Linked DNA regions of Danio rerio. The protein of the gene in region 4 purifies or fractionates together with the protein of the main gene of each other region. This does not show direct contact. Links are inferred from orthologs where the notes say so. Each region holds a gene or a part of one and is shown on either strand. Other genes may lie near its edges.

Region 1 (4,241 bases), on a different chromosome or scaffold from region 4:
CGCGGGGAAGCCTTCATAAACTGAGGAGCGATCACAAGCTGAGGAGCGGGAAAGGGGGCGAGGTGGAGCGACAACGCGGGGAAACCTTCACAAACTGAGGAGCGATCGCTAACCGAAAGCAGCGAGTGCGTCAAAGTAGCCAGAAGTAATTCATTTATAATGAGGACCGGCGGCGAGGAACAGCGCGGCGTGTCTTCTCCTGTGTGGGCATAGAGGAGAGTTGAGATCAAGTCAACGATATGATATGAGCTATGACGCGGTTCGGCGGCAAGCAATCAGAATGAAGTAGTCCACCGCTTAAGAGGAGTTCAGAAAACACAGACCAGTGAACTTTGGTTCCGTCCACAGTTTTTCCCAAGAGTTTGATTACTGCGGTTGTCAGTTTTTAATTATTGAAAATAATTAAAAAACGCAGCATGTAGCCCACAGTCAGAGCAAATTTCCCATCTGTAACTTTAATCTTCACCAGCACATGTGACCTCCTGTTAGAAAATAATTTCGTCATTCGAAGTTCATAATAGTCCTAAAGGTGATGATAATAGGCAAGGCAAGTTTTAGTTATACCTGGTAATGGTTATACCTGCCAGTTTGTTCATGTTTTAAATTGGTGAAAGAATGATTCGCTCTTTCGTTTTTTGGCCTTATCCTTTGTTTTTTCGCACTTCACTCTCGCATTAAACAAAAACAGGATACGGCAGATTTTGTCCTTCTTGGCTTTGTGGCTGTACATCAAGTCAACAACAAGGTTTGTCTGAGCTCGGGTCAACCATGGCACATTATTATATGCATATATTATAGTATTACAATGTAATGTCTCGGCTGTGTATTTAAAAATGTCTTTGTTTTCATTCTTCTGCTTATGATCGAGTGACGCTTTTCTGTAAATCAGTAGCGTTCAGCTGCATGTCTTGCTTCACCTTTTGGTACTTTTTTTTGCCATGCTAGGTACCCTTTGCAAAGAGTCCCCAAAAAGTGGTAAGGTATTGTTTGCTTTTAGGTACCTATTCAGTGGAAACGGCCATAAAAGCGTACTGAACTGAACCGTACCACTTAGTCTTAGGTTCTGTGTGGTCTAGGTTGCTGTAATTAATTTTGGTGGTTCCTGCACATGTCAGTAATCAGAAAAAATGTCTCTATCATAATCTATGTAAAAGTTATTCTATTCCAACTGATGGGAGAACGGAACCACTTCTGGGGGTATTGGGCCAGTACGGCCCTTTAAAAAATAAAGAATGCGGAAATAAATGATGTCACGGACACGGTACCAGGTACGCAGAGCTTAAGAGAGCTAATTTGGTTAATTTTGTTCGCATATAAAATTATAGGAGAAATAATATAGTACAATATATGTAGAGGTCAGTCCATGGGTTAGTAATATCCATCCTGATGTTTATTTAGCATGTCACTGCATCTCATCAGTTGAAAACAACTACGCATACAACCCTTGTGTACAGTTTAAATTTACCAACCCTTTCATTATATTCAAGGCTACTTTTGCCCTATTGACTTGCATTATAATGACATTTTGATTACAAAGCCATGACACCATATAATCATGCATTCTTGGTTGTTGATGGTTTTATCTGTTAAGAAGAGTTTGTTTAAAAAACAAACTCTTCTTTTTTGTTTAAAAAAGAATGTTTAAAAAGCATTTTCTCAAAAAATCATTCCATTTGCTGAAACAAAGAGAACGTTGTGGTCTAATTAACATTCACAATCACCCCAGAGAGGATAAAACAGCCCAACAGCACACAAGAAGGGTTAAAAAAATAAAGAAATTTCAAGAAGGATCAACACACTCAGTGAAAATGTAAAATCTCACCTTTAACAAGACCAGGAACTCAAATATTCGTCTGAAAGATGGTGGGAATAGTCTGGCGTATGTGACTGCCATCTTAAAGAATAATGCGTGGAAGAGTCTGTCTCTCACGTTAATCAAGGGGTTCTGGTTCATTGGGGGGTTACGAATCCGGTTTGGCCCACCATTATTATTGTTGTTCAGTGGAACGTTGTTGTTGTTCACATTGCCTTGGTTGTCAGACATGGTGATGATTGTTCAGTAACTTGATAAGGAGAAGGACCAACTAAGGTCAGGGAGAAAGCTATGTGATAAGATCCAGATGAACAGGCCGAGCACACAACATCAGCTCACACTAATGATGGGTCTGGTTCTCAAAAGGTGAACTGACCTTCAGGTATCGGCACCAAAAGCCCGGGAGACGCTGAATGTTGTAGGGATGTTGGTGGGCAAGGCTCCTTCCACTCCTACCATGTCATATTCTCGCGAGCTAACAGACTACTCTAGTTTTGGAGCTTTTACAAATTTGCTGCACATGCAGCTTAAATATTGTCAGACCAGAGGTGCATGTCAGTCTGTTAAATTTAGTTTTAAACCCAATTTGTCTTGCAATTGTGACTCAGGCCTCCAGCATTCACTGTCACCCCAACCAAACACGTTCATTTAATGCCTCAGACACTAGACTAAATAACAATATTTTGTATGGAAGTTAAATCTTACCTAGACAGTCTAGCTGAACTTTAAAAATGAATGAAAATTCAAACAGCACATATAGCGTAGTCTGCTAATAGTCACAAGCTAACAAGTTAGCCGAGCTTCCAGTGAAGAACCCGTATGTTCGGTTTACTTTTTGACAAACGCCTTCTCACATAACGCTGACACTCTTCAATAAAACAAGACATCAGATACTTGATGATGTCCCACCAGAACCACCCGATGGCAGCAACTGTAAGCTGTTTTACGAATCATCTGTTTACACAACCATTTTCTGAAGCGGAGCGGACTTGGGAGCAGCAGTCAGGAAGCTTTTAATGAGGGAAGCAGTTCCACTCTGGTTTTGCTTCCGTGGTAAGTCACGTGATTTGGCCAAGGGATCTGTTTTTTTTACTCAAAAGTCTAAAGGATTCCACAACAACAAAATTAATGAATGAACGAATAAATAAATATATAAACATATAACATAAATATCATGCGTTTATTGTTGTTTCTGGTTTCTCCAAATCGTATTAATTTATTATTGCGTCACGTCATAATAGAGTGGAAAGGCTATTTAGTACAGCATCTATGGTACAAGTCACGCAGTAGAAGTAAGTAAAGATAAACATGCATAGCGCTTGATTGCGGTGGGGATGACCTCAAAATACGAAATAAGCATATTTTTCATGAGGATTGTTTAGATTTCTGCTATTTTATTAGAGACAATATTATTTGTAGTTCAACTTTGTTTGCAAATGTTTTAATTGAATTTTTACTATACATAATTTACAAATATATTTGCTCAATGTATTCATTCTGTTTGGAAAGTTTAGTACAAATAATTTCAAATACAAGCCATTATTTTATTCATTTTCTCTGCGGTCACCACAGCGGAATGAACCGCCAACTTATCCAGCATATGTTCTACACAGAGAATATCTTTCCAGCTGCAACCAACCCATCCAGTACTGGGGAACATCCATACAGTCTCATTCACACATACATTCAATTCACCTATACCTACCACTTCTTTGAAACCGGAAACCGGAGCACCTGAAGGAAACCCGGGGATAACATGCAAACTCCACACACAAATGCCAACTGAACCAACAGGGACTCGAACCAGTGAACTTCTTGCTGTGAGATCTCAGTGCTGCTAACCACTGAGCCACCATGTCGCCTCAAGTCATTATTTGTGATTTTGAATCAGAATTTAAGCTTTACTTTCCCAGGGATGGGTTGCGGCTGGAAGGGCATCCGCTGCGTAAAACATATGCTGAATGAGTTGGCGGTTCATTCCGCTGTGGCAAACACCATATTAATAAAGGGACTAAGCTGAAAAGAAAATGAATGAATGAGTTGCTTTACTGAAAAATGATAAGCTGTTAGCTGTAAATATTGCCATGTTTTCATTTGATGTGCGTATTATGGAAATAATAATAAGCAAAACAATCTAAATTTGAATTGTGTTAATTTGAATTAGACAATTGTAATTTAATAAATCTGAATTTTTATATGCCGTTAAAAATTGTTTTGAATTTCTTAGTTTGAATTTTCTAACTTGAATATTGAAATGTAAGACAACTGAATTTTTCAAGGCGGAATTTTTTATAGACATATTCTCAAACGTTTGATTTTTTGTGTTAAAATATTACAGTAGGCTATTTTTTGACTGAAATGCATTGAAATCAAAATGTCCAATGGGTGGCGCTAAATCTCTCTTTGTCACTGAATTGTTCATTCACAT
Region 2 (4,167 bases), on a different chromosome or scaffold from region 4:
AATTTGTGTCATACATGAGCTCATTTGTAGTATATTGATTGCTATGCCTTCATCAATTTTGCAAAAAAAAAAAAAGAAACACATTGAAAAAGGCTTTAAGACCAAGCAGAATCGTCTGGCCAATGTAAATAATTATTTTTCATGCTGAGTCCAACATTCATCTGTGCAAGAAAACATCTAATCTGATCTAATCTTGGCTATTATTGTAATGCTCTACATTATTAAAATGTTTGAACTTTTTTATTATTCAAAGGGCCTAATTTTGACTGAGAAAAGTTGAATGTGCATGCCAGCTTGTTATTTGGCGAACAAATGACAACAGACAACAGTTTTTAATTTTAAACTTTAACAGATGCTTATTATTTTTCTATTGATATACTTATTAATTTTCTTTTCAGCTTAGTCCCTTTATTAATCCAGGGTCACCACAGTGGAATGAACCACCAACTTATCCAGCACATGGTTTAAGCAGCGGATGCCCTTCCAGCTAGGAAACATCCATACACACTCATTCACACACATACACTACTGACAATTTAGCCTAACCAATTCCCCTATACCACATGTCCCTGGACTTGTGAGGGAAATCAGAGCACCCGGAGGAATCCCACACGAACACGGGGAGGACACCACACAGAAACGCCAACTGACCCAGCCGAGGCTCGAACCAGTGACCTTCTTGCTATGAGGCAAACGTGCTTCCCAAAGCACCACTGCATTGCCTGTTTTTCTAACGATGTATAAGTGATAAATTTGTATTTAATAAAAAAAATCTTTATTCCAAATATTTAGGAAATATTTTTGGTACATCAAAAAGTGTGGTTTTGACGACAGGGTAATCCAGATAAAAATAGTGCTTAAAATTTCACTATAATGCAGTATTTAATCATAAATAATTGCAAAAAGATATACTTTTTGAGAAAAAAGAAATACCCCTTTCACCAGGATGGCTACGGACCTGTTTATGTCGTTGATGTTCGTTGCATGGATTTTACCTGCTTTTCATTGATTCTGAGATCACCAAACACAACAAGTTGGATACATTTTCCCATAAGCAGGAGAAAACAGCACAGTGTATTCACAAGGACCTGAAGAGAATAAAGCAATATTGGCTATTACTACAGTAGCGGCACTTATTTCATATAAGAGGAATATACTGTATCAAATCTAGATTTCAGTACAGGTGCCACATTCTTGGACATTTAATCTCACCATTTATTCCATTTATAAAGAAAAAATGTGAAAAAAGTCATGCTTAAAATGTAAATCGATGTTCCCTTCAGAAATTTCCCTTGCAAATTGAAAAGTTGAATTATCTCAATTGATATACTCTAAAATATTACAAATTGTCATAGAAAAAAGACTTGTTAATTAAAATTTAGAGGCAACAAACATTAATTTTATTTAAAAGAAATAGCAAACATTGATTTTTAACATTGCTATTAAGACTTCATTTATGCAAATAAATAAAGAAATTAATGAATGTAATTATTGCAAGAACAAACAGAATTAAAACTGAATTAAAACCGAGTTTTAGTCATTTTACCAGTATATTTTAGGCATAATATACTGTAGGTCCACGTGTTGACTCACTGACCCATATAACTTATGCTACTCCTGGCTCATGTAAGAATTGGACCACTTACCCACATGCATAAGCTCCCTGTAGTGTGACACCACAAACCAGTTGAATATAATTCTTCGTTGTTGACATTGTCATCGTCTGTCCTGCCGGAGGGTGAGTCCTGAGAGAGATTTTTCTCAATAAGCAAATCTTTGTCCTCGTCATCGTACAACGAGTAGATGCATCCTGTCAGTAAACATGCACTGAACGCTGTGTACGCCTGAGTGCAAGGCCAGGACAACACATCCATAACTGTGTTTTTTTTTCTGTCTATATAACTTATCAAATCTATCAGATACTTGAAGACGTTAATATTTAATTTCAATCGTTTTAGCACTGCAGAAACTAATCTTTTACTTCAAGGCGAGCCTTAGCGGTGTCACTGAAGAGGGCGTAAACAAGACTGATTTACCTCCAAAACAGATGTCGAACATACTCATTAAAATCAACTGAAATGGCGTTATTTTATGAAAATTAAGGATACATGGGAATGTATTTTTATATTGAACTTGAAAAAAAATTAAAATTTCAGATTTCTTTCAACTCTGGTTTCTTTTTTTTAAATCAGCGTTATTTATATTAAATGCAAACAGTAAATCAACTTCTGGGTATTCTCTTAAAAATTGAGAAGTACGTTAACATTTACTGAATTTGTATAATTTAGAGATCTGTTCTACAAAACGCCACAAGGTGGTGCAATTGAGTCAACAATGAGACTCGTTGAAAGTTGTCTGACTTGTTATGAGAATGTCTCAACATTGCCATATTTGTTAAGTGCTATAAATCGTTCATAGCATGTTCAGCATTTACATGTGCAAGACACAAAAGCTAAGAGGGGATCTAGTCCCGTGTTTCTAGAGCAGAGATGCCCATACCTTTTCTTATGAAAGGCCAAAAACCAAACTTGATTGAGGCTACCGGCCGACGGTAAATATAGTAGCCAATGGGTAATTTCCTAATTTATTTGATAATTGATAATATTTAAAAATAATGAGAAAACATTGCTTTATATATATATATATATATATATATATATATATATATATATATATAAAGAGAGAGAGAGAGAGAGAGAGAGAGAGAGAGAGAGTATACATATATATTACATTCTACAATAAACTTAGAATAAAAACAAAAACAAACAGTATTCACAGTTTGAAAATCAGATTTATTTACAACATTTAATTAAAGCATTTAATTCAGTTTCTTTTTTTTTCTTTTTTTTGTAGCTCAGCAATAAACCTTGCCCATAGGCTCTAATTTGGGCATGGGTTAAGTGGATGACTATTCTCAGAGATGTATTAAAATTGTATTACAATTCCAAATAACATGTATCTAAAATATTTTAAAATGTCTGGTTGTAAATTACACAGTAGCGATTTATTATTTTATTTTTGATTAATTTATTTATAGACTATATTCTATATTTTATTCTATTTCTTATTTTTTATATATAATTGTAGCTTATTATATCAATTTTATATTAACACTTTACAGTGTCTAAGAGAGCTGAACATGATGCAATCAAATAATGATCACAAATTCTCAATGCAATAGAATATAAAATGGGCTGTAAATGTCTATAGCCACAATGTAACTTTAATTGGCTACACAACTGCAAAACCTTTTTTTTTAAACACTGTAATGGGAATCTACAGGCCTAAATTGATCAAACTGCAACACTTGAAAAGAGCAGCACTTAAAAGTATGTTTTTGGTGTTTTCTTTACATTATCAGGCTTATAGTCAGCCTAGTGAAAGGGGTCGTTCTTTTTTCTCATATAGTGGACCTTTTTGCAGTTGTTCGACTAATATTCTATTTAATTAGGAGATTTAAATACTGCATTTTAGTGACATTTTAAATACATTTTTTTTTTGGATTAGCTTGTCGGATGGTCACACTTTTTCATGTACACTAAAAAGGTTTTCTAAAGATTTGTAATAAAGAATTATGTCGAGGCTATTATTTTTAAGCTACTTTATAATACAGCACTAGGGGGGAAATAGCAGTCTGTTTAAATTTTACATTTAAAACTGTGGCCTATTTTCATTTTAGTCAAACGACAAACTGACCAGCACATTCAACTTTTCTCAGTCTCAGAATTTGACCATTCGAATTACAAAATAAATAAATAAATAAACATAATGATAATGTAAAGCTTCACCATTTTTCTAGCTTCTCTTGTAAAAAAAAAAAAAAAAAGTACATTTGAAAATTCATGGATAACAACAATAGCCAAATATGTATTAATATGGGCCATTTTGGTGCTTCACAACTTTTTATTAGTCATTTTTTCTTTCAGGAATTAGGTCCAAGAATTAGAATAAAAGTTACATTAAAAATGTTTTCTCTGGGTCTCTGTATTTTCAATGGGTTATTTTGATAACTTGTAATGGCATAACAGTCAAAACAGGACAAATGAGGGGACAAATATTGGACCTTTGTCAGACTTGAAAAAAAATGAATATAAATTCTTTATCAAAAAGTTTTTTTCTTTTTTTTCTTTTTTGTGTGTAGTGTCTCGCATAAACACTTGAAGTTAT
Region 3 (4,004 bases), on a different chromosome or scaffold from region 4:
ACCTCAGATTTAATTATTAATCGTCAAAAGTGTTCTCAACTTGAGATTCAAGAACACATTAAGCCTTGATAAAGCCATAAAATGATTACCACGGCAAAACTCGACACCCAGAGAAGCTGAGGCAAGCCTCCAAAACAGGTGGCACAACTTCTTTCAATCAAGACCTTATGGATGCTAAAACAGCCTTAAATGCCCCAGTTAATCAAAAATTCGATGCTTTTACACAAACTAAAAAATGCTTAGTTACAATTTTTTTAACATTTTGAAAAAGATATCATTAGTAGTATGCAGATCAAAACAACAATTAAGTTTTAGTTGCATATATTTAACTCATAAATCCAGAAATACTAAGAACAATGTAAAAAATGCAAGGTTTCGCACAATTCCTTCATGTTGTCTCAACACAAATGGCCTAGGTTAACTGCTTTTTACAAATTTAAGTGGATTGAACATAAAACAATTACGCTGTCAAACAATACTCAATTGTTATTGATTTAGCTTGTTTTAAATAAGTAGAACACTTTTATTTTATTTTATTAAATGACCCAAGTGGTTACTTAATTTGTTTTCTATGCCTACATGTAACAGATGTACTCAATAATGATAAACAAAAACCTTCCTAATAAACTTAAACTTGCTGCTCTCTGATTATTTAATCTTCTTTTATGCTCATTTGTAATTCACAAGTGTCTGCTAAATTATTAAATGTATGTAAGAAGGTGTATAGTATTAAAGCAGCTTTAGCTTTATTTTAACTTAATGATCATCTCAGTGAAATGCATTTCTTTGGTAATCCATATGGGACAGCATCTTAGATTGTGTAAACTTAGGGTAAACCATTGACAGGTCAACCAGACACCTAACCTACTTAAAGTAGGTGGAGACTCTCAATCTGTGTCTATAGTGGTCACATGACAAAAATACAACATTGAGGACGAACCCTAGCTTTATTACGCACATATGATCTAAATCAATACATATTTACATGCACGGCTAAATTATAGAGGGCAGTAAGATTGCAAGTATCTTTCCTAAATTACGAAAATATACAGGAAATCGGTGTAGTTACCTAATCTCTGAAAAAAGGGGCTGATTTGGGACCGAATCCCTGGTTAATGATTAACCGTCTGTCAAATTTACTGTGTACAGGGAAGCAGTGAGAAAGTATTCCAGTCAGTGCCGTCCACCAGAGAAAAGCAACTGAATTACGAACAGAAAACATGCACACTAATCATAGCTACAGCAACAGGTGAGTCTTTATTTTATTTAACGCACATACAGTGCTCAGCATATATAAGTACACCTCTCACAAATCTGTCTTTTAAGTTCATATTTTTAATAGGAAGCTATACAATATTATATTTGTGCATATACATTAGATTAGTCAGTACTGAAGCCAAATCTGGAGCTTATCTAACAAAATAACTTATGATAGTAGTTAACTAGCACACCCAAATATATATGTTCTAGAAAAATATTAAATACAAATTTAAAAAAAGAGGAAAAACCAAGAGAAGCAAAAATATAGAAAATTTCAGTTAAATTTTTTGTAGGTTGTTATATTTTTTGTGCAATATTTTTGAATTTAATTAAATTAACTTTTAATTTCTAAATATGTTTGGTGACTACAATATTATTTTAATAAATATAAGACCTGTTTAATAAATTAGTTTTGTTTAAATGCAACAAAATACATTGACTATATTCACTTAGAATTGGAGAAAAATATTTATTTTCGAAACAGGGTGTACTCAATTATGCTGAGCACTGTATCTGTGCCCATTCATCTTTTCAGAAACCTTTTTTTACAGTGTAATTGAAGTGTTAGAATGTCCCTTTTTACATTTTTATCATGATTTATTTAAATCTGTCATGGAATGTAATCCAGTGTAACTACAGTTTAGATTAAATAAAAGCATGTCAGACATATATAGAGCAAGAATCTTTAGAAAATATATTAAAAAGCTATTTAGAGTTGTTCTGTCATCTTTACTCATCCTCAATCAAGTGGTTCCACATGTTTGACTTTTTCCACAAATGTAGGTATTTTGAAAAACGTTGAAAACCAGTAACCATTGATTATAACATACATAGATTATTCTTTATCTATAGATTTTTTCTAAATATTATACTTGTGGTAAACAGAAGAATACAAAAATGTTTGGAACCGCTTACAGAGATCAAATTTTCAATTTTGGTTGAACTATCCCTCTAAGCCAGTGTTTCTCAACCATGTTCCACCAGCACTGCACATTTTCCAAGTCTCCTTAATCAAACACAGCAGATTTAAATCATCAGCTCATTAGCAGAGACTGTAAGACCTGTAATAAAGGTGTGAAAAACAAAGGAGACATCCAAAACATGCAGTGTTGGTGGTCCTCCAGGAACGTGGTTGAGAAATACTGTTTTAAGCCATTAGATACTAATTGTTATTTTAAATCGTTATTCTTTGCCACTATGCCACATTTTAAAATGTATTTAGCTTTTTATTTGATCTAAACCTTAAACCGTTTGTCCATATTTGACCCAAATATTATTTGAAACAATCCAACACTGTGTTATAATGCATTTGTCAGCAAGACATTCAATTTAAATGTAATCAAATGTAGTACGACTGTTTATTTTGTTATATAATTGAGCAAGTACTGGCCAGAAATTAGTAAGTTGCACTTTATGTGTTATACTTAGGGAACATCATTTTCTACATTTCTACTTATTTCTTTCTACATGTACACATGTGTTATGATGAAGTGTTGTGTCCTGAGACTGCAGGTCATTTGTGTTATGGTATGTTGAAGCAATAAAATACACCGCACAGACAAACTGCCACATGACATCACAGAGTTCAACACGCTCTTCAGAACCATAATGTTACTTTATTTTAAACTCTAACACCTCTCAAATTCCCAGACAGTTATATCAGGATATCTTGAATGCAGGATTTCTAGATTTAATTGTTGCTACTTTATTACATTTATTTCTAAATACTGATAAGGTTCCGTGTGGTGTTGTGTTATCTTGGTAGACGTGCACCTAGTCATACTATCCTGACTAATCACTGAATACAAGTTGAGCAAATAATCATTCATTCATTTTCTTTTCGGCTTAGTCCCTTTATTAATCAGGCGTCGTCACAGTGGAATGAACTGCCAACTTATCCAGTATATGTTTTACACAGCAGATGCCCTTTCAGCTGCAACCCAATACTGGGAAACATCCATACACTCTTGCATTGACACACAACACTATGGAGAAAACCCACACCAACATGTTGAGAACATGCAAACTTCACACAGAAAAAAATAAGTAGATTTTTTTAAATACGTAGAACATTTTCTTATTTTATTAAGTGACCCAAGTGGTTACTTCATTTGTTTTCTATGCCTTCATGTAACATATGTACTCAATAATAATAAAAAGCTTCCTAATAAACTTAAACTTGCGGCTCTGTGATGATTTGATCTTCTCTTATCCTCATTTGTAATTCACAAGTGTCTGCTAAATTATTAAATCTATGTAATAAGGTGTTTAGTATTAAATGCCAGAAATCCCAACTGAACCAGCCGGGGCTAGAACCAGCGAACTTCTTGCTGTGAGGCGATTGTGCTACCCACTGCACCACCATGACACCAGTGAAGCAAATATTATAGGATAAATTCGGTTTTAGTTTATTGATGATTGCCTAGATTTTCACTCTAATTCAGGGATGCACCTTTAATTACTATGAGCTCAGTCCTTCATTCTTATATGAGGTTTCTTAGTTTGGTACAGTAGGCGAACATAAGCTGTATATTAATGTCATCATCTCTCTCTGTTGAAGGTCCTCGCTATTACCAAAGATAAGGAGTCAAGGTTGTCCACACAATGCTCACGTGAACAACAGAGAGGTAAAAATGCGCACACACATACTCATACACACACTTTTCTTTTTGTGTATTGTGAGGACGTACCATAGGTTTCTATTGATTTAATACTATATAAACTATATTTTCTATGGGGAAACC
Region 4 (3,500 bases):
AGATACAAAGACTTAAGAAAAACATCTTTACTGTATAAACAAGTCACCAACCCTATACACAGTCAATTTAAAGTACAGTTATGCACATCAAATAAAGACTCTTGTGATTGTGAACGTGACAACACTCTGAAAGTGAAACCCAGGCATGAACAGTAAAGGTCTTTGGGAAGTTTTGTTGAGTCTTGAAGTATTAAGCAATCTGCTACAATGTTTAAAACAAATCAGTTCTTTGTCTGCACACCAGTGCGTTCAAATAAACAGAAAAAGCCTTATTAAATTAAATCCTGTGCAACTTTCAAAGACAGTAACATAAGAGACATCAATATATGCATTTAGACATGAGGTATGCTGCTCAATTTTTGGATTCTATATACATATAACGATGAAAACCTTTTTTCATCCTTCAAGTTGCAGTCTTGCTCACATATAAATGTAAACTAACACAACTAAATTCTGATTACAAATGGAGGCAAGCTATTGATCCAGATGGTTTACTAGTAAAAGATACTGTACAAGATCTTAACACATAACAATTTGAAACACTGGGAGAGGGGATATTGGTGGAAATGGAACATTTCTCGGAACAAATTCCAAACATGACTTACTAGATAAAAAAAAAAAAAACTAAAATGCAGAATCATCTTCCCATGGGTGAGAAGCAGCCCACAGACTGCTGATTTTTAATGGTCAAATGACTCATTTCTGATGCAGTCCACACTCAAGTCCTCTGAAATATGAAAGTGACTGAAGAGTTGGAAAGGATACGAGCTCACAGCCCTGCTCTATCAGTGCTAAAATAAGGCACAAAATGCCTGCCAATTAAAGAGAATCTCATTATATAGTGCACTGTGCATTGCTATAAGATGGAGAAGTTCAAAATACTAAAACTGCACCAAAGTTCTTAATTATAATAATATGTTTTATATTTAATAAAAACTACTTGCTAATCTGTTTTCATGCGAGATTTTTGCTGGAGGTTTATACAACCATCTTCTCACTTTTACCTCTTGGAAGATCTTTAGTTGCTCTGTGTAGTAATTTTTTTAATTACCTAAGCTCCAACAATGGAGAAAAAAACAAGTACAGTCTGTGAAAATGCAAAACAAATGACAACTAAATTAAAAAATAAATTGGGATTGGGTCTTTTATGAGAAAACAAAAATCATTTCAACATAACAAAAGAATCCCTGAGGAGTAAGAGCCTTTAAGATGCTTTTTAGTTGGTTTATTAAATACTTACTTCAAACAAAAAATGGAAATTTAATCACCATTTACTCACCCTTAAGTGGTTCCAAACTTTAGTTAATTTTTTTTTTTTTTTTTGCTGAACACAAAGGAAAATATTTTGAATTCTGAATACTTGTTCCCAACAGGTTGATGGTCCCCAGTACTAGAGAAAAAGTATTATGAAAGTCGATGGTGACCAGCAATGGTTTGGTTACAGATCCTCAAAATAAATGTTATGTTCATCAGAAGAAAACAAAGGTGAGTAAACAACGACATGCTTTTTTGTTTTGGTGAACTATTCCTTTAAGTACATAAATCAATCCTTCAATGTTAAAAAAAGAGATATTTTTAGGAAGCTGATTTATGGTAATACATGCACAAATCTTGTGCATACATGCCACTAGTTTCTAAGGTATAGTTAATCCAAAAAATAAAAATGTACTTAGCATTTACTAACCCTCAAGTGGTTCGAAACCTTTATGAGATTCTTTTTTCCACTGAACAAAGGACAATTGTTGGCAACCAATAGTTATTGACTTCAATAGTAAGAAATGTAATACTACTGAAACCAATGACTTCAGGATGTTAAAAATCTTCTAAATATACTTATACAAGGTTTCTGCAGGTTTCTTTGAGTCAAATTTAAGACCCTTTTAAAAACATTATGAATGACATTTTAGACTTTCACAGGGCTAAACACTAAGAAGTTTTTCGAATAGTTCTTGTATTAATGGAAGATCATGTAAACGGATGTGTTGCTTTAGTTTTCTTTCTCTGCTTAGGGAATTTAATTAGGAAAAGTTGCTGTAAACAGTTGCTGTTTAACAGTTGTTGTGACTCATTTTGCAGTAAAAACCTATATACATATAAGTTTCGAGAAGAATTATTGGTGATTGGGCAGCTTTATTTGGACATAGGAAAATTAAAATTATGATTTAAGACCTACAACAAAATATTTAACTGAATTTAAGACTTTTTAAGACCTAAAATTTAGTTTTTGAAATTTAAGACATTTTTAAACCTTGCGGACACCCTGTCATAAAAGGTTTGGAACAAGTTGAGGCTGAGTAAATGACAGAATTTTAATTTTTGGACAAAATATCCATTTATTTCACATTCAAATGTCCACATATGTTCTATTCAAAAGAAAGAAAAACCGTCTGTTCAACCAAAAGAACCAGCTTTGTGATCAAGTCACTGGGGTGCAGATGCACATGTAGTGTTTCTGTCCCGCTAATACAGCATCATAATTCTTTACGAAAGTGGTTTCAGCTGCACCGACTGGCACAATGTAGTCTAATGACTGGCCATTAGTCTCTTTCATTACCTGTTAATTTATTCTCAGTGCTACAACTTTCTGCTCTGTCTGTTGTCATTCCAAGTCCAGCATCCCCTCTGAGAGCACGTCGATGGCTTTGGAAGCAGCTGAGGAGGAGCTTCCTGGCCCAGAGTCCATAAACATGTGAGGGATCTCACTTCCAAAGTAAATCTTGCTGTTAGCCGCTATTGCCTTAAATTTCATCAGCTGGAGATATTCAGGAGTCAGCTTGAGCTAAGAGAAGAGAAAGAAAAAAAAAGAAAGAGAAATAGAGAAGATTGAAAACATGTTCACTAAACACTGAGCACAACAATGATGGGTTCAAGTTCAGCAGTTTACCTTATTGGCCTCCGCTGCTCTCTGCGCTGAGTAGAATTCTGCATCTGCTTTTGCTTTCTGCCTAGCGAGGTACGCACTGTCTATAAAACAGGAATCAAACAAAATCAGCAAATCAAAGCAAAATCAACACAACAGTAACCACAGCAGCATTTGGATTTGTATGTTGAAAGATTGTCAGTGCCATTTATGTATATAAACCAATCCATCAATTTAAAAATAAAACAAAGAACTTTATTTTATTTATTTTTCATAAATCATGCACAAATCTTGTGCATCCAATTCCTCTAGCTTCTAAAGGTATAGTCTATTCAAAAGTGAAAATTTACTTAGCATCAGCAAGCAATGCACTGTCTATAAATCCAGCAAGACAAATGAAAGAACAAAATCAACACAACAGATACCACAGTAACATTTAGATTTGTATGTTGAAAGTCATCATCTGTCATTCTAATGATCATTTAATTTGGCTAATTTTCTACATTTTGATGTGAAGGTATAGTTCATCCAAAACTGTACTATTATTTACTTGCCCTCGAGTGTTTTTTTTCCTTCTCTTAGGCCCTGTTTACACTAGTGCGTTTTAGTTTTAAAACGGCATTTTAGAATGAAAACGATC
Region 5 (3,950 bases), on a different chromosome or scaffold from region 4:
TTGTGCATAACACAAGAGGAAACTAACCACAATACATGAGTAATCAAGTACATCAGTTATTCTGTGGAATATGAAAGACTGGAAAAGGGGGCTGGTATGAGGGGCAGTTTCTTACCATAGCTAGTTGTCTGCCAATATTTCCAACAGTCACTCCGCCAGAGAAGAATATACAAGGCAGCCATGAACGGACATACAAGAAGTCTGGAGAAGTATACCTGGTAACAAATGAAGAAAAGGACTGAAATGACGAGCTGCTTAAAGGAAAAACAAAACTGAGTGTTTGCACTTGATATAATATTTGCTAATGTTTCTTACAAAAAAAACATGTTCTACGACTAAAATTATGAATATGTGAGAGTGTTAGTTACTTGCTAGTTGATATGAAAACAGTTTTCTGTTGCTGTTTGTCAACATGTTTGAGTCATAACTTACTGGTAGATGCCGTTGTAGACCAGCAGCTGAGCAATGAGAGTGGCCAGCAGGGCAGTGGTCAGCCCTAAACCAAAGCCACTCCTGGAGCGGTCAAATGTCCACCACAGACCCAGAGACAGGGCAGCCAGAGTTAGCGATAGCTGCACATTGTTAGCAAAGTCCAGTTTCTGTAAGGTACTTTGAGTTAAGCAAAATATTCTTATGTTAACATACATTTTGAAAACATTGTGATGTTAACTCAAGAATTGAGTTTGTGCAGGTTCCCAAGTTTTTGCTGGTCCACACATTTGGAGAGCAGTAAACAGGTTCCACAAAAACTTTGTAGTCAAATTTATTAAAAACTTTTTTTTTTAGTTCTTAAAAAACCCAGTTCTCATTTACATGGGGTTTCTTGGCAATGAAGTGCATGTTACTGTTTGAGTTCAGAGTTAATGTAAAGTTTTAAGGTATATTTACATGACAACAAAAAATAAAAACTTTTATGCATTTTTGCTGTTCATTTACCCAAAAACACAGACTCAGAGTCGTCAAAACAAAACTTAAAAAAGGTTAAATGATATCGTGTGCAGAGTTTTCAACTTCTGGCCGGGTCAGAGTACTGAGCATTTCTAGTCATTTTTCAGCGTTATTACAACTATCCTCAATACATAAGACTTTTTAAAAATATTAGATAAGCATAATTCTCGTTGCATAGATTATTGCTGTGTAAATATGTTTAGTACTTTAACGGGTCACCCCACTTTTTTAGTTTAGCCTTTGATGTATAATTTGTCAAGATAAATTCAGGTTCAGACAAAAACAAATAAATATGTGACAGTTAAGAGATTAAGAAAAAAAAGGATTTGTCTAATGCTATTGAATAGTAACATGGCTTATTACAGACTTAAAACAAAAATCTCAAAAAGGTTTGGAAGTTTTCATTGTCCACAATGGTTGCAACTGTAAAAGTGTCACTGTTAAGGATACAGCACTGGCGTGATTGATGCCCACAAAGACAGCAATGCAGCGCATCACGCTTGCCCACTCCCGCTTGAACTTGTGTGGTTCTCCAAGATGGTGGTCCAAGCAGGGGTACAACAGACCAACCACAGCTGAGAAGAGAAAACAGAAAGTACTTTAAACAACATTCATTGAAAGGGGGAAAAAAGAAGAAGAAAAAAACATTTTTTACATCTGCTTGGTATTGTTTGACGCCTTTTAGTATATAAATAATGGGTGATGACTTTTGTGTTTAAATAAATCTCATAAGAAGAGTTCAAGTACAACAAAACTCTTTAAAAGGCATTTTCTACTGAAAAGGATGTAAACTGATACGCGTCCACATCACCACTATGAGGAATGCAGGGGGAGGAGTCGAGCGTGACCGAATTATTTATTAATTTCTGCTGCACACGACTTCCGTGTTTCTCTTTTCGGGTAAGTGGCATGTTCGGCGTACCAGCCAATGGCGTGCCTCTCTCGCAGCTCACCCGTTCTGAGCGCAGCCAATGAGAATGCAGCACCCCAAGAATGACCCCAAATGCCCGGCTGTTACCAGGGCAGCGCTTACTGATAGCTACAAAGCCCAATGTCAACAAAACTGTCCCCGAATCACTCATCTTACATAAAAGACACGATAACAAAAAGCCCTCAGCAAGCACACCGTCTTTGTTTGTTATCGTCACGAACAAAGCATTCGAGCCCAAGTGTTTCAGACAGACTCACCAGCAGCGGTGCCACAGCAGAGGGGAATCCACCAGGCGGACGAAAATAGCGTGTCCAGCACTTCCTCTGGAAACAATGTAACGTTTCTCTGGATCTGTAGCAAGTTTAACACCAAAGCGAGCACAACTCCCACGATAAACAACACAAGCCCCCGTCGAATTAAATTGGCGGACTGGAGGCTGTGCAGAGAGCCGTACGCGTGGCTCAGCACTGAGGTTATGATGGACATCATTTCACCCGTTTTACAGACAATCCAGCCGGCGCTTGACAGGTCCTTCGTCTTCACACTGGTCGAACAGGAGCAGCTCCAACAATGTTCCTCTAGTCTTGGCATTTGGCACTGTTGGAAAACAGTAATACTCATTAATAATTATCACTAACTTGATCAAATAAAATAATGTTGAAAGTCAAGTATTACGCTACAAAAAGCAGTGCTGTAGCCCAAAAAACAATCTGTTCCCAATGAGTATGAAGTGGAAGTAAAGGGAATGAATAGGCTACCCACCTTGATCTTTTAGCGATGTCTTCGTCTAAAGCAGAACACGTCTGTGCTTTCAAAACTCTTTTACAAAAACGAAAGGCTACCTACAAATAGTTTAGATGTGTTGTTTGATCACATCATCTGTAAGAGAAATACTGCTGCCTCTTTTCATCCCTCAGTTGAACACTGCCACACGCGCGCTTCCTCTGCAGAAAACAAGCGCGGTCATGTCTGGTGAGTCTCTCTAGCCAATCAGAGTGCGGCGGGCCATATGACGCGAACGCGCGCCACCCCTCTCTGACAGACACGCGCTGTTGATGTTCGCCATCAGCTGTTCGCCTTGTGTGTGTGTGTGTGTGTGTGTGTGTGCGTGTGCGTGTGTGCGTGTGCGTGTGTGCGTGTGCGTGTGTGTGTGTGTGTGTGTGTGTGTGTGTGTGTGTGTGTGTGTGTGTGTGTGTGTGTGTGTGTGTGTGTTGACGCTATGCCAGAGTCATGCAGAAAAGTCTTAAACTTCTAGATTGGTTAAGTTTAATGACCTTGCTTTGCTAAATCCTTTTCAGTAACTAAGCAATACAGCACTGATTCGAGATTTTCTCAGTGTTCAATATTGCTGTTCTCCTGTTTGCACAAAACAAACTACTTGTTGGGTAAATGTATTTGTAATCTTTTCAGGGTACAGACAAGAAAGCTTTTTGCTGATATGAACTTTTTTTTAGTTCACTATGAGTGAACAGGCCCTGAAAGTGTATGAGATAATGCGGATTTGTTGGCTATACGTGACAGCGTGCAGTACGTGTCCGTGAGACTGAAAACAAGAAATCAGGTCATGATGCTCAGTGGGCTGTTCCCCCACTGTAAATAAACTTGTGTACTTATAGTTTATTGATTCAGAGCAGAACAGAGTTCAGTCTCTTACCTCAGTGGAACCACTCCTCACCAGATAAATGAGTCTGATGTTTGCCCCTTGTCAAGAATGACTGTCAACAACTCTTTAGCTGCTGTTTTTACAATAAAGGTTCCAAAATGGGCTTTTCGTTGCAGTGCTAGAAAATAACCATTTTTGATATCTAAAAAGCTTTTGTGTTGATGAAAGTTCAGAAAAGAAGCATTATTTTATTGGTGTGAAAGACATCCTAAACACATTAATGAACCTTTTTTCAACAGAGAAACTTATGTGCAATGGAAACGTGCTGTGGATGTTAACGAGTCACGAAACACCAAAACACATTTTTTTGAGATGTTGACAATCATAAATATGACTCACGTTGCTAAAACACTATTAGGACACATATATTTCACAAAAAAGTGAAAATTGGTGGGTTTTGCAATATTT

Evidence for each region. The genes of interacting proteins can lie anywhere in the genome.
Region 1: the proteins of erlin2 (region 4) and tmem259 purify together in Homo sapiens (affinity purification with mass spectrometry; 3 studies listed by BioGRID and IntAct, with this or other methods). This does not show direct contact. The link is inferred for Danio rerio from reciprocal best matches to the Homo sapiens genes ERLIN2 and TMEM259.
Region 2: the proteins of erlin2 (region 4) and amfrb purify together in Homo sapiens (affinity purification with western blotting; 4 studies listed by BioGRID and IntAct, with this or other methods). This does not show direct contact. The link is inferred for Danio rerio from reciprocal best matches to the Homo sapiens genes ERLIN2 and AMFR.
Region 3: the proteins of erlin2 (region 4) and si:dkey-183n20.15 purify together in Homo sapiens (affinity purification with mass spectrometry; 4 studies listed by BioGRID and IntAct, counting the BioPlex papers as one, with this or other methods). This does not show direct contact. The link is inferred for Danio rerio from reciprocal best matches to the Homo sapiens genes ERLIN2 and RNF170.
Region 5: the proteins of erlin2 (region 4) and insig1 purify together in Homo sapiens (affinity purification with western blotting; 4 studies listed by BioGRID and IntAct, with this or other methods). This does not show direct contact. The link is inferred for Danio rerio from reciprocal best matches to the Homo sapiens genes ERLIN2 and INSIG1.

What each region holds. Positions count from the first base shown.
Region 1 is NC_133186.1:14,596,432-14,600,672, forward strand, and holds the start of tmem259 (membralin), read right to left. Parts: upstream 2,801-4,241; 5' UTR 2,190-2,800; exon of another isoform or gene 2,085-2,189; 5' UTR 2,045-2,084; coding exon 1,823-2,044; intron 1-1,822. UniProt on the Homo sapiens protein: May have a role in the ERAD pathway required for clearance of misfolded proteins in the endoplasmic reticulum (ER). Promotes survival of motor neurons, probably by protecting against ER stress.
Region 2 is NC_133182.1:35,353,821-35,357,987, reverse strand, and holds the start of amfrb (E3 ubiquitin-protein ligase AMFR-like), read right to left. Parts: upstream 2,801-4,167; 5' UTR 1,875-2,800; coding exon 1,647-1,874; intron 1,089-1,646; coding exon 996-1,088; intron 1-995. UniProt on the Homo sapiens protein: E3 ubiquitin-protein ligase that mediates the polyubiquitination of lysine and cysteine residues on target proteins, such as CD3D, CYP3A4, CFTR, INSIG1, SOAT2/ACAT2 and APOB for proteasomal degradation.
Region 3 is NC_133195.1:28,154,386-28,158,389, reverse strand, and holds the start of si:dkey-183n20.15 (RING-HC_RNF170 domain-containing protein), read left to right. Parts: upstream 1-1,204; 5' UTR 1,205-1,220; coding exon 1,221-1,249; intron 1,250-3,820; coding exon 3,821-3,887; intron 3,888-4,004. UniProt on the Homo sapiens protein: E3 ubiquitin-protein ligase that plays an essential role in stimulus-induced inositol 1,4,5-trisphosphate receptor type 1 (ITPR1) ubiquitination and degradation via the endoplasmic reticulum-associated degradation (ERAD) pathway.
Region 4 is NC_133180.1:36,109,605-36,113,104, reverse strand, and holds part of erlin2 (erlin-2), read right to left. Parts: intron 2,965-3,500; coding exon 2,885-2,964; intron 2,780-2,884; coding exon 2,600-2,779; 3' UTR 1-2,599. UniProt on the Homo sapiens protein: Component of the ERLIN1/ERLIN2 complex which mediates the endoplasmic reticulum-associated degradation (ERAD) of inositol 1,4,5-trisphosphate receptors (IP3Rs) such as ITPR1.
Region 5 is NC_133182.1:41,359,972-41,363,921, forward strand, and holds the start of insig1 (insulin-induced gene 1 protein), read right to left. Parts: upstream 2,801-3,950; 5' UTR 2,642-2,800; intron 2,477-2,641; 5' UTR 2,471-2,476; coding exon 2,137-2,470; intron 1,524-2,136; coding exon 1,399-1,523; intron 784-1,398; exon of another isoform or gene 600-783; coding exon 433-599; exon of another isoform or gene 216-432; coding exon 116-215; intron 1-115. UniProt on the Homo sapiens protein: Oxysterol-binding protein that mediates feedback control of cholesterol synthesis by controlling both endoplasmic reticulum to Golgi transport of SCAP and degradation of HMGCR.